2 linked regions of the Oryctolagus cuniculus genome follow. The protein of the gene in region 1 purifies or fractionates together with the protein of each later gene. This does not show direct contact. Links are inferred from orthologs where the notes say so. Each region holds a gene or a part of one and is shown on either strand. Other genes may lie near its edges.

Region 1 (4,135 bases):
ACCTAACTCACTACGATGGAGCCAGGGCAGCCCACCGATCCCACCCCTCCCAGGAGCCCAGGCCCTGAGCACCCCCGTCCAGACCTCTCCTCCCCGGGTCACCTTGCAGGGAAGCCCTGGCAGCCCCACCCCTCCCACCACTGAAGGCGGGACCCAGAGGCTGTGAGCAGTGACTTCTGGGGAGCCTGGGGTGCTGACACTGCGGGACCCGGGGCTCTGGAGCTGCCGGGGAGCAGGGCGAGGGCCGACGCCTGCCCCTGCCCCTGCCCCTGCCCCGGGGTGCGGCGCCTTGCGCTGTGCCACGGCATCCGACCTGGGCATCTGAAACGTGGGGCAACGCGCCCGCCCCTCTTCTGAAGACAACAGAGACCTGACTTCCCAGGGCCGCTGCGCAGCTGGGCACCTGCGCCCCAGCTGGGGTGGCCGGGCACCTCCCCTCCCTGTGGGCCACGTGCCACGGCTGCAGGGCGGCAGACACTCAACTCAGTGCCACCACCCCGGGCACATCCGCAGATGCCGGCCTCTCAGTGGGCTCCTGCCCCGCCCCCACTGGACCAGGCTACTGGCAGGTGGTTGTCTACCTTTAATCGGGGGTACAAAAGGCACCTCTCCCAGCACGAGAGGCGCCACCAACAGGAGGACGGAGGAAGGCCAAGGGCCGGGCCAGGCCGGGAGAGGCAGTGGGGGTGGGGTGGGGCCACAGAGCCCAGGCAGCCCCCAGGCCTCACCTTGCAGCCTGGGCTGTTGGGGACTTGCCCCACCCTGAGCCTCTGAGCTTCGTACCTGGATAGAGCAGCACAGCGAGGGGTCACCACATCGGCCCCCCACAGCTCGCTAAAGCCTGGGGGCCCCACGGAGGGGCCAGGGACTCGAGGCTGTGGCAGCCTTAACTGGCAGTGTGGGCTCTCAAGGGCTCAGTGGGGACGGGCCCAGGGCAGAGTCCCACGGTGCCAACACGCAGCCAGTCTGTCTGTCCTGGGGTCTCCCAGTTCTCAGCGAAGGCAGCAGGGCCCAGCGGGGTAGGGGAGGAGGCAGAGCCGGCCAGGATCCCACTGCAGAGCTGACCAGATCCACGCCGCTGCCTCCCCGGGCGCCAGGCAGCACGGCGCAGCCGCAGCCGGGCCGGCCCCGTCTCAGGGACCCCAAGCAGCTGGACACCAAAGGAGGGAGCAAGGCCCGCCGGGGCCGGGCACAGGGTGCCAGACCCCACGCTCATAAGGCAAACAGCATGTCGTCATCCTTTTCCTGCGTCTTCTTCCGGGGGGCCGCGCCAGCAGGGGCACCCCGGGGCCCCTCGCCTGCGGGGCTGGGGAGGCTGGGCAGCCGGTCGGCCGCTTTGGCCCGTTCTTCCAGGAACTTGTCAAACTCTAGAGGAAGGAGAGGGAGGGGTGGGCTTGGAGGCCAGGCTGGGGGAGAGGGCGGGGGCGGGGGTGGGCTGGGCGCTTCTACCTTCACTGGTGACGCCCTTGGGATCTTCCGCGTCGTTCCCCTGGGAAGCAGGAGGAGAGGAGGCAGAGGTTAGTGGCCTGGCCCCCGCGACGGGGCGGAGCTGACAGCTCAGGCTCCCCTGAGCCACTTTGCTGGTGTCCCGCTCTGGCTCTGTCCCCGGCCCGCACAGCACCCGGCCCTCAACCCCCGAGCTGCAGGGCTTGGGTGCCGTCTGCCTTCTCAGAGCCGTGGCTTCTTCTGTGGCACCACGGGGACTGGACACAGAGCTGGAGGCTTCCACCCGGACTGGGACAGGGCAAGAGTGCGGGGCCGCGGCCCAGAGGGCCTGGTGTTGCGTTCTGGCTCCGTTTCCAACCCAGCTCCCTGCTAATGTGCACTTTGGGAAGCAGCAGGTGACGGCTCAAGTGCCTGGGTCCCTGCCACCCCTGTGGGAGACCCACATGGAGTTCACGGCTCCTGGCTTTGGCCTGGCCTGGCTCAGGCTATGTGGGCATTTGGGGAATAAGATCGGTCTCTCTGCTTTTCAAATAAAGTGAAAATAAATAAACAATTTTTAAGTGAGCTAATATACCCAGAGGCCAAGCACAGGGCGCAGTGCCCAGTGTGTCCTGGGGGGGGGGGTGTCCATTAATTTCCTTCCCGGGCGGTCTGACACCTGGGGACTTCCTGCCGTAGCTGGGAGCTGGGAAGGGGCTGGGTCGTGGCTTTGGCCAGCAAGTGCTGGGTGCTGGGTGCTCGGTGCCGGGGGGTGCTGGGTGCATGGAGGAGCTGAGCCTGACGCTGCCTCTTCTGCTCCCTGGGGTTGGAGAATGCTGGTGCCCAGGGCCCCACGTCCTGGCACCGCCTCTCCCGCTCTGGGCACGTCCCTTTAGAGAAGGGTGACCACTGCCCCAGGCGGTCTGTGACATGTGACATGGGGTGGGCAGCCTCCTGCCCCGAGACCCCCACTGGCCACTATGGCTCCTCCCTGGGCCCTGCGGGCGGGCAAGGGCCCCACTCACCACGTCGGTAGACAGCCACTGCTCGATGTCCTCCATGAGGCAGGCCTGGGCGACGGGAACCTGCAGGGAAGGGGTGACGGGGGAGGACAGTGTGGCAGGCGACACGGCCCCGCCGGCCAGTGTCCCCTTGCTGGATGGCCCTTGCCAGTCACCAGCCCTGCCCCAAGCCGCCACCTCGCCCTGCTCTGGGGCAGGGGCCCAAGGTTGCCCCTCCCCACGAGGACAGTGGAGCCCCAGTTCCAGCACACGGTGGTGCAGGCGGGGTTCCGGCTGTGCAAAGGCCCAGGATGGGGCCACCCCAGGCGCAGGTGCCCGGGAACAACAGCCCAGGGGCACGAGAGCCGCCTTCTCCAGCCACCAGAGCTGGGCCGGGCCATGGCCACGGCCACGGCCACGGCCCAGGCCACTGCCACCAGCTTCCGTGTCCTGGCACCTGCGCAGAGCCGGGGTTTGCAGCAGAAGGGAGTGGAGAAGAGCCCCAAGGCAGACAGGAAGTGAGGCCTGGCCAGGCTGGTGGAGTCTGAGGGGCAGCCCAAGCATCGGGACGTTTCGCTGAGGGCCACGAAGACCTGGGCTCGACCAGGAGGCACCCACTCCGGGGCTGGGCCAGGGCCTTCTCGCCCCGCTTCTGCGGTGCCAGACCCCAGATGGAGGTCATGGGCAGGGCTCAGGGTGGGAGAGTCCCGTCTGGCCCCGCCCCTTGGCGCACCATGACTCCCGGCACGGGCTTCACCTCCTTGCACTAGCTCCCCTCTCCCCCGGAGGAGACCACGGGTCCCTACCATGGAGAGGGGGACAACAGGAGGACAGATGCAGGGCTGGGCACAGCACAGAGGAGGGCTGCAGAGACCTCAGTGCCAGGAGGGCAAGCGAGAGTCCTTCTCCCACCAAGCCGCTCTGGTCGCCAAGTTCCGTCACCCAGCCCCCGAGGACCCCGCCGGCAGCACCGCGCCCAGAGCACAGGCAGGCGCCAACCCTTCAGCAGCACCGCGCCTGCGCCCTCTCCCAGTCCCCTGCAGAAGGGCCACCTTGGCCCTGCCCGAGGGCGGTGGGACACGCACACTGCAGGGCTTCGGAAGCCAGCATGCAGGAGCGGGACCAGGCCAGTGCGGGGTGACCCGCCTGGCGATGGCCTGAGCCGTGGGGCCCGGCAGGCCCTCCTCGGCCCCACGCCCTCAGACAGCACCACCGAGGCCCTGCTTCTGCGCCGAGGCCGGAGCCCTGCCAGCAGCAGTCCAGCTTCCTGGGGGCCGGGCCTGGCTCCTGCTCACCATGCCTTGTCTCACCATCCAGTCACGGAAGCTCTTCTCACCGCTGCCTCCCTCCTGGGGGACAGAGCCAGGCTGACCGAGCAGGAGGGGCAGGCCTGGGCCCGGCAGGCCGGCAGCCTCCTCCCGCAGGCTCTGAGGCCTGTGTGTGTGCAGGGCTGTACCGGATGGCGGATGGGACAGCAGGTGCAAAGGGACAGGGGAATCGGCAGAGGGGGCCTCACTGTGGGATGAATCTCATAGCTCTGGGCCGCCAGGGCCTTGCATGGGTCAAGGCAAAGCTGAGAGCAACTTACACAAGACTTCTCAGGCCTTCCCACAAACACCCAGAGGGCAGGCTGGGGGCTCCCGAAGGCTTCCGACGGGCACCCAGGTTCTGACCCCACCCCTCCCACATGCTGGGCCCCAAAGCGGATC
Region 2 (4,264 bases), on another chromosome or scaffold:
AGAACATCCTTCTAGGGCAAGGATCGGAATGCAGGAGAGCCGCCTGAGACAGAGATTTAGAAACCAGCACCCTAAGCTGTGGGATGAGACCACCCAGAAGAGAGGACACAGACCTGACATCAGGGAACTGAAGATCACGGTCCCCGTGCCCAAAACCACTCTGGGTAAAACTCTGCCACACAGTTAAACGTACTGCTGAGGAAAAATATCCAACCTACAATGTTAAATGAACGAAAATCAAACAGCAAAGTTTCTGCATGTTATAAGCCCCTTATTACAAATGAATTGTTAAAAAAAAATTGCACTAGCAAAGACACATGGGGAAATATGAGGAACATTTGTCAATAATTCCATAAATCTGGACATGGGATTATGTAAGCATTTCATAGCTACACTCTATGTCTCTATGACATTTCATTTTCTTACAAGCAATACTTTGGTAAACAGGAAAAAATAATTGTGTTCTTTTCCTAAAAATCTGTTATAAAGACACTTGGGCATTGTACTATAATTGGGCAAATAATATCAACAGAGAACTGTAATATTACACTAAAATGCTCAATGAACTAACAAAGTAATGCTCCACATTTTTTTTGGTGCTTACTAAGTGAAAACTACTTTTTTAAATAATAAAAGTATTAAATGTTGGCAAAGATGTGATGACAAAAAGTACACTGGTACAATCTCTAAAGAAAATAATATGGCTAGAAATATATATATTTATATTTTATATCAACAGCCTCAAAAACATTCCTAATAACTTGATCCACTAACTCTCTTTAGAAGTTTAATACTCAGGGGCCGGCGCTGTGGCACAGCGGGTTAACGCCCTGGCCTGAAGTGCAGGCATCCCATATGGGCACTGGTTCTAGTCCCGGCTGCTCCTCTTCCCATCCAGCTCTCTGCTATGGCCTGGGATAGCAGTGGAAGATGGCTCAAGTCCTTGGGCCCTGCACCCACGTGGGAGACCTGGAAGAAGCTCTTGGCTCCTGGCTTCCAATCGGCGCAGCACTGGCCGCTGCAGCCATCTGGGGAGTGAACCAGCTTATGGAAGACCTCTCTCTCTCTCTCTCTCTCTCTCTCTCTCTCTCTGCCTCTCCTCACTCTGTAACTCTTTCGAATAAATAAATAAATCTTTTATACTCAAAAACAACAGACCAATGGCATACCAAGCAGTGTTTCCATATATATGCAAATGTTTGCAATGTCCATGCAAAGCCAATTTCTCTTCAAACACTTAACTTTTCCTTACAGCGGAGCTTGCTACTTTTAAATGAACAAGTTAATTATGTTCTGCGCTTTCATTTCCAAAATGGTAAATATACTGCATTAATGAACAAAAACTCTCTGGGGCCGTTCATTTTTAAGCGTGACTCCCCCCAGTCATAATGTTCAGTGGACTGTGGCACTATCCTAGCCCATCACTTTTCCCTGCGTCTGGGGCCCACAGATCGACGGGAACTTGGCTTCCATCGCAATTTCACCGTTTCCAACTCCGTTGTGCTCGTGTACTCCAAAAGCCAAAGTTATGCCTACGAAGCTTATTTAGAACTTGGGAAACTGAAATGCAAACTTCAGCAAGAAAACACCCAATGCCACTACCTATACACGAAACCCCGTCCTCTTAATTCAGCAAAGGCACGGAGGCAGTGAAGGAAGCAGCGCGGGGACCACTCCACGCAGCTCCACCGCAGCGAGCCACCGCACCTCGGCCGGACGCCCGGCGGCGGCGAACCCCGCACCGCATCGCCGGCGCCCGTCAGAGACCAACTTGGCTTCGCGAAGGCGCGTCCCGGCGCCGGCCCGCGAGGGACCCGGGCCCACAAAGGCGCTGGCCGCCAGGAAGGTCAGCCCCGCGGCGGCCCCAGGGCGGGACCCCCGAGCGGACTGCGCGGCGGCCCTGCGGCCCTCAGCTCCCGGCCGGCCTGCCCCTTGCTGCGGGGGTCGAGTGCGGGCCCCGAGCCGGCGGCTCTGGTGAGGGAGCGCGGCAGGGCTGAGGCGAGGCCCCGGCGGCCACTTACCTCCCCACAGCCCTGCGGAGCTCGGGGCCTCGCCGCGGACGCCGCGCTGGGCAGCGAGAGCGACCCCGGCCGGAGCCGCGGCAGTGCGCGACGTCGGCGCAGGGTCTGCCCCCGCCGACCCGAGCGGCGCGGCCCGCGCAGGCGCAGGAGAGGCCGCGCGGCGCACACGCCCCCCGCCCGCGCGGTCCCGGGCGCCTGCGCGCTGCGATGCGGTGCGAGCCGGAAGTGCCTGACCAGGCCCTGGGGTGGGCGCCGCCGCGCGTTTCGGGCTCGGATCGTGAGGAGGGGTGACGCTCGTCCGCGTCCGGCGACCCCTGCCCGTCGCCGACTCAGCGCTGCAGTGGGCGGGCCGGTCGGCCCCGGTGCCGACTGGCCTTCTCCGGTCCGGTCCGGTCCGGTCCGGTGCTCACCCGGCCGTCGCCGCCGCCGTTCTGCGTTTCAGTCAGCGGCCGGAGAACAGCTGCGCTGACTGGAAACAAACGCTGACTTCTGTCAGAAGCGGCCCGAGTGTGTGTGTGTGGCGGAGCGTCGCTGTTTCTGCCGCGAGCGCGTGCCCGGGGCCGAGGCCCCTGCGCGCATCCGAGCGAGCGGCCGCACCGCCGCGAACGCGAAAGCCCGCGTTTCAACAAGCTCAGGCCCACGTCCGCTTTTCCGAAAGTGACAGGAATCATACTATCTCAAGAATATTCCAGACACGTGGGGTTTGTGGTGAAGGATGGGAGAGTCGAGCTTCCAATCTGCGGTTTTCCATCGTTCGGAAAGAATCTCGAATCTCGGGCTTCCTGCACTGGAAGCGGGGGTGGCCTGGCTGTAGTCCAGGTGTAAAGTGTTGACTGCCCGGAACTGTACTGGGCATCTGCTTTGCGTTTGCTGGCCTTCTCAGTAAGTCCAGGAAGCATTTCCGCGGCTGACACACACAACCCGAGGGGCACGGCCTCGTGCAGCCACTGTCGGGTCCAGTGCAGCCTGGACAGAAGTCTGGAGCAGCGCAAGGACCGAGAGCAGGAGTAGGCGAGACACCGAGACCCTAACCCGGCAAAGGAAAAACGTGTGTACGTGAACGCTGAATCCACAAATACAACAGTTAAACGTTTTACTAAGTTATTGTAGTGTTCAAACTCATTAATCACATAAAGACAAAAAATGACAGGTCCCATGGATCCAGTTTAGCCACTTTGGAGTGTGAACAAACTCCATCAGCGAGAGTAGGGTGAACACTCACACTCTGATGGGGATATAAATTAGACCAAGTTAGGATTTTTTACAAGATTTATTTGCTTGAAAGGCAAGTGACAGATCTTGCATCCTCTGGTTCAGTCTTCAAATGGCCACAAAAGCCAGGGCTGGGCCAAGTCAAAGCCAGGAGCCAGAAATTCCACCAGGTCTCCATATGGTGCCAGGGACCCAAGCACTTGAGTTATCTTCACCTGCTTCCCGTGTGCGTTAGCAGGGAGCTGGATGGGAAGTGCAGCAGCCAGGAATCAAATCGGTACTCTGACACGGGATATGAGTTTCCCAAGTAGCAACTTAACCCGCTACACCACAGCATCCCCCTGCCCCAGTTAGGAAAGTTATCTGTCAAATCATATCAAGACCCTTTAAATGTTCACATGACCTAATTCTATAATTTTCCTTTTGGAATGTATAAGGAGTTACTCCAGAAAACAAAGGTTTACGCATAATGGAAATATATTTACCATGACAATATTTGTGTTTTAAAATTGACAACATTCTAAAATACAATAAGAAAATAGTAAAAAAAAAAAAAAGATGACTATATATTTGTGTCAAACCATTAAATTTACCTTTACAAAGAATTCTGATAATTTGAGGAAATCATGATAAAGCATTTTAAATATTTAAAAATATTTATCAATGTGTGTGTAGTATGAAGTCGTTATGCTTGTCCAATACATGTTAAAGAGTGAATGAAATACACTAACATGGGGCCAACATAATGGTGTAGCATGGAAAGTCCTCACTCGCGAAGCCAGCGTCCCATACGGGTGCTGTTTCCAGTCCCAGTTGCTCCTCCAATCCAGCTCCCTGCTAATGGCCTGGGAAAAGTAGCAGAAGGTGGCTCATGTGCTTGGAACCCTTCCACCTCCATGGGAGATCCTGGCTCCTGACTTTGGCCTGGCTCAGCCCTTGTTGTTGAGGCCACTTAGGAAATGAGCCAGCAGATGGATGATCTCCCTCTTTCTATCTTTCCCTATCACTCTTTCAAATAAATAAATAGGTCT

The links.
Region 2: the proteins of TOM1 (region 1) and ZFYVE16 purify together in Homo sapiens (affinity purification with western blotting; 3 studies listed by BioGRID and IntAct, with this or other methods). This does not show direct contact. The link is inferred for Oryctolagus cuniculus from reciprocal best matches to the Homo sapiens genes TOM1 and ZFYVE16.

Annotation. Positions count from the first base shown.
Region 1 is NC_091442.1:112,927,273-112,931,407, reverse strand, and holds the end of TOM1 (target of Myb1 membrane trafficking protein), read right to left. Parts: intron 3,776-4,135; coding exon 3,722-3,775; intron 2,511-3,721; coding exon 2,451-2,510; intron 1,490-2,450; coding exon 1,450-1,489; intron 1,368-1,449; coding exon 1,213-1,367; 3' UTR 569-1,212; downstream 1-568.
Region 2 is NC_091445.1:3,969,238-3,973,501, reverse strand, and holds the start of ZFYVE16 (zinc finger FYVE domain-containing protein 16), read right to left. Parts: upstream 2,808-4,264; 5' UTR 2,432-2,807; intron 2,161-2,431; exon of another isoform or gene 2,022-2,160; intron 215-2,021; exon of another isoform or gene 114-214; intron 1-113.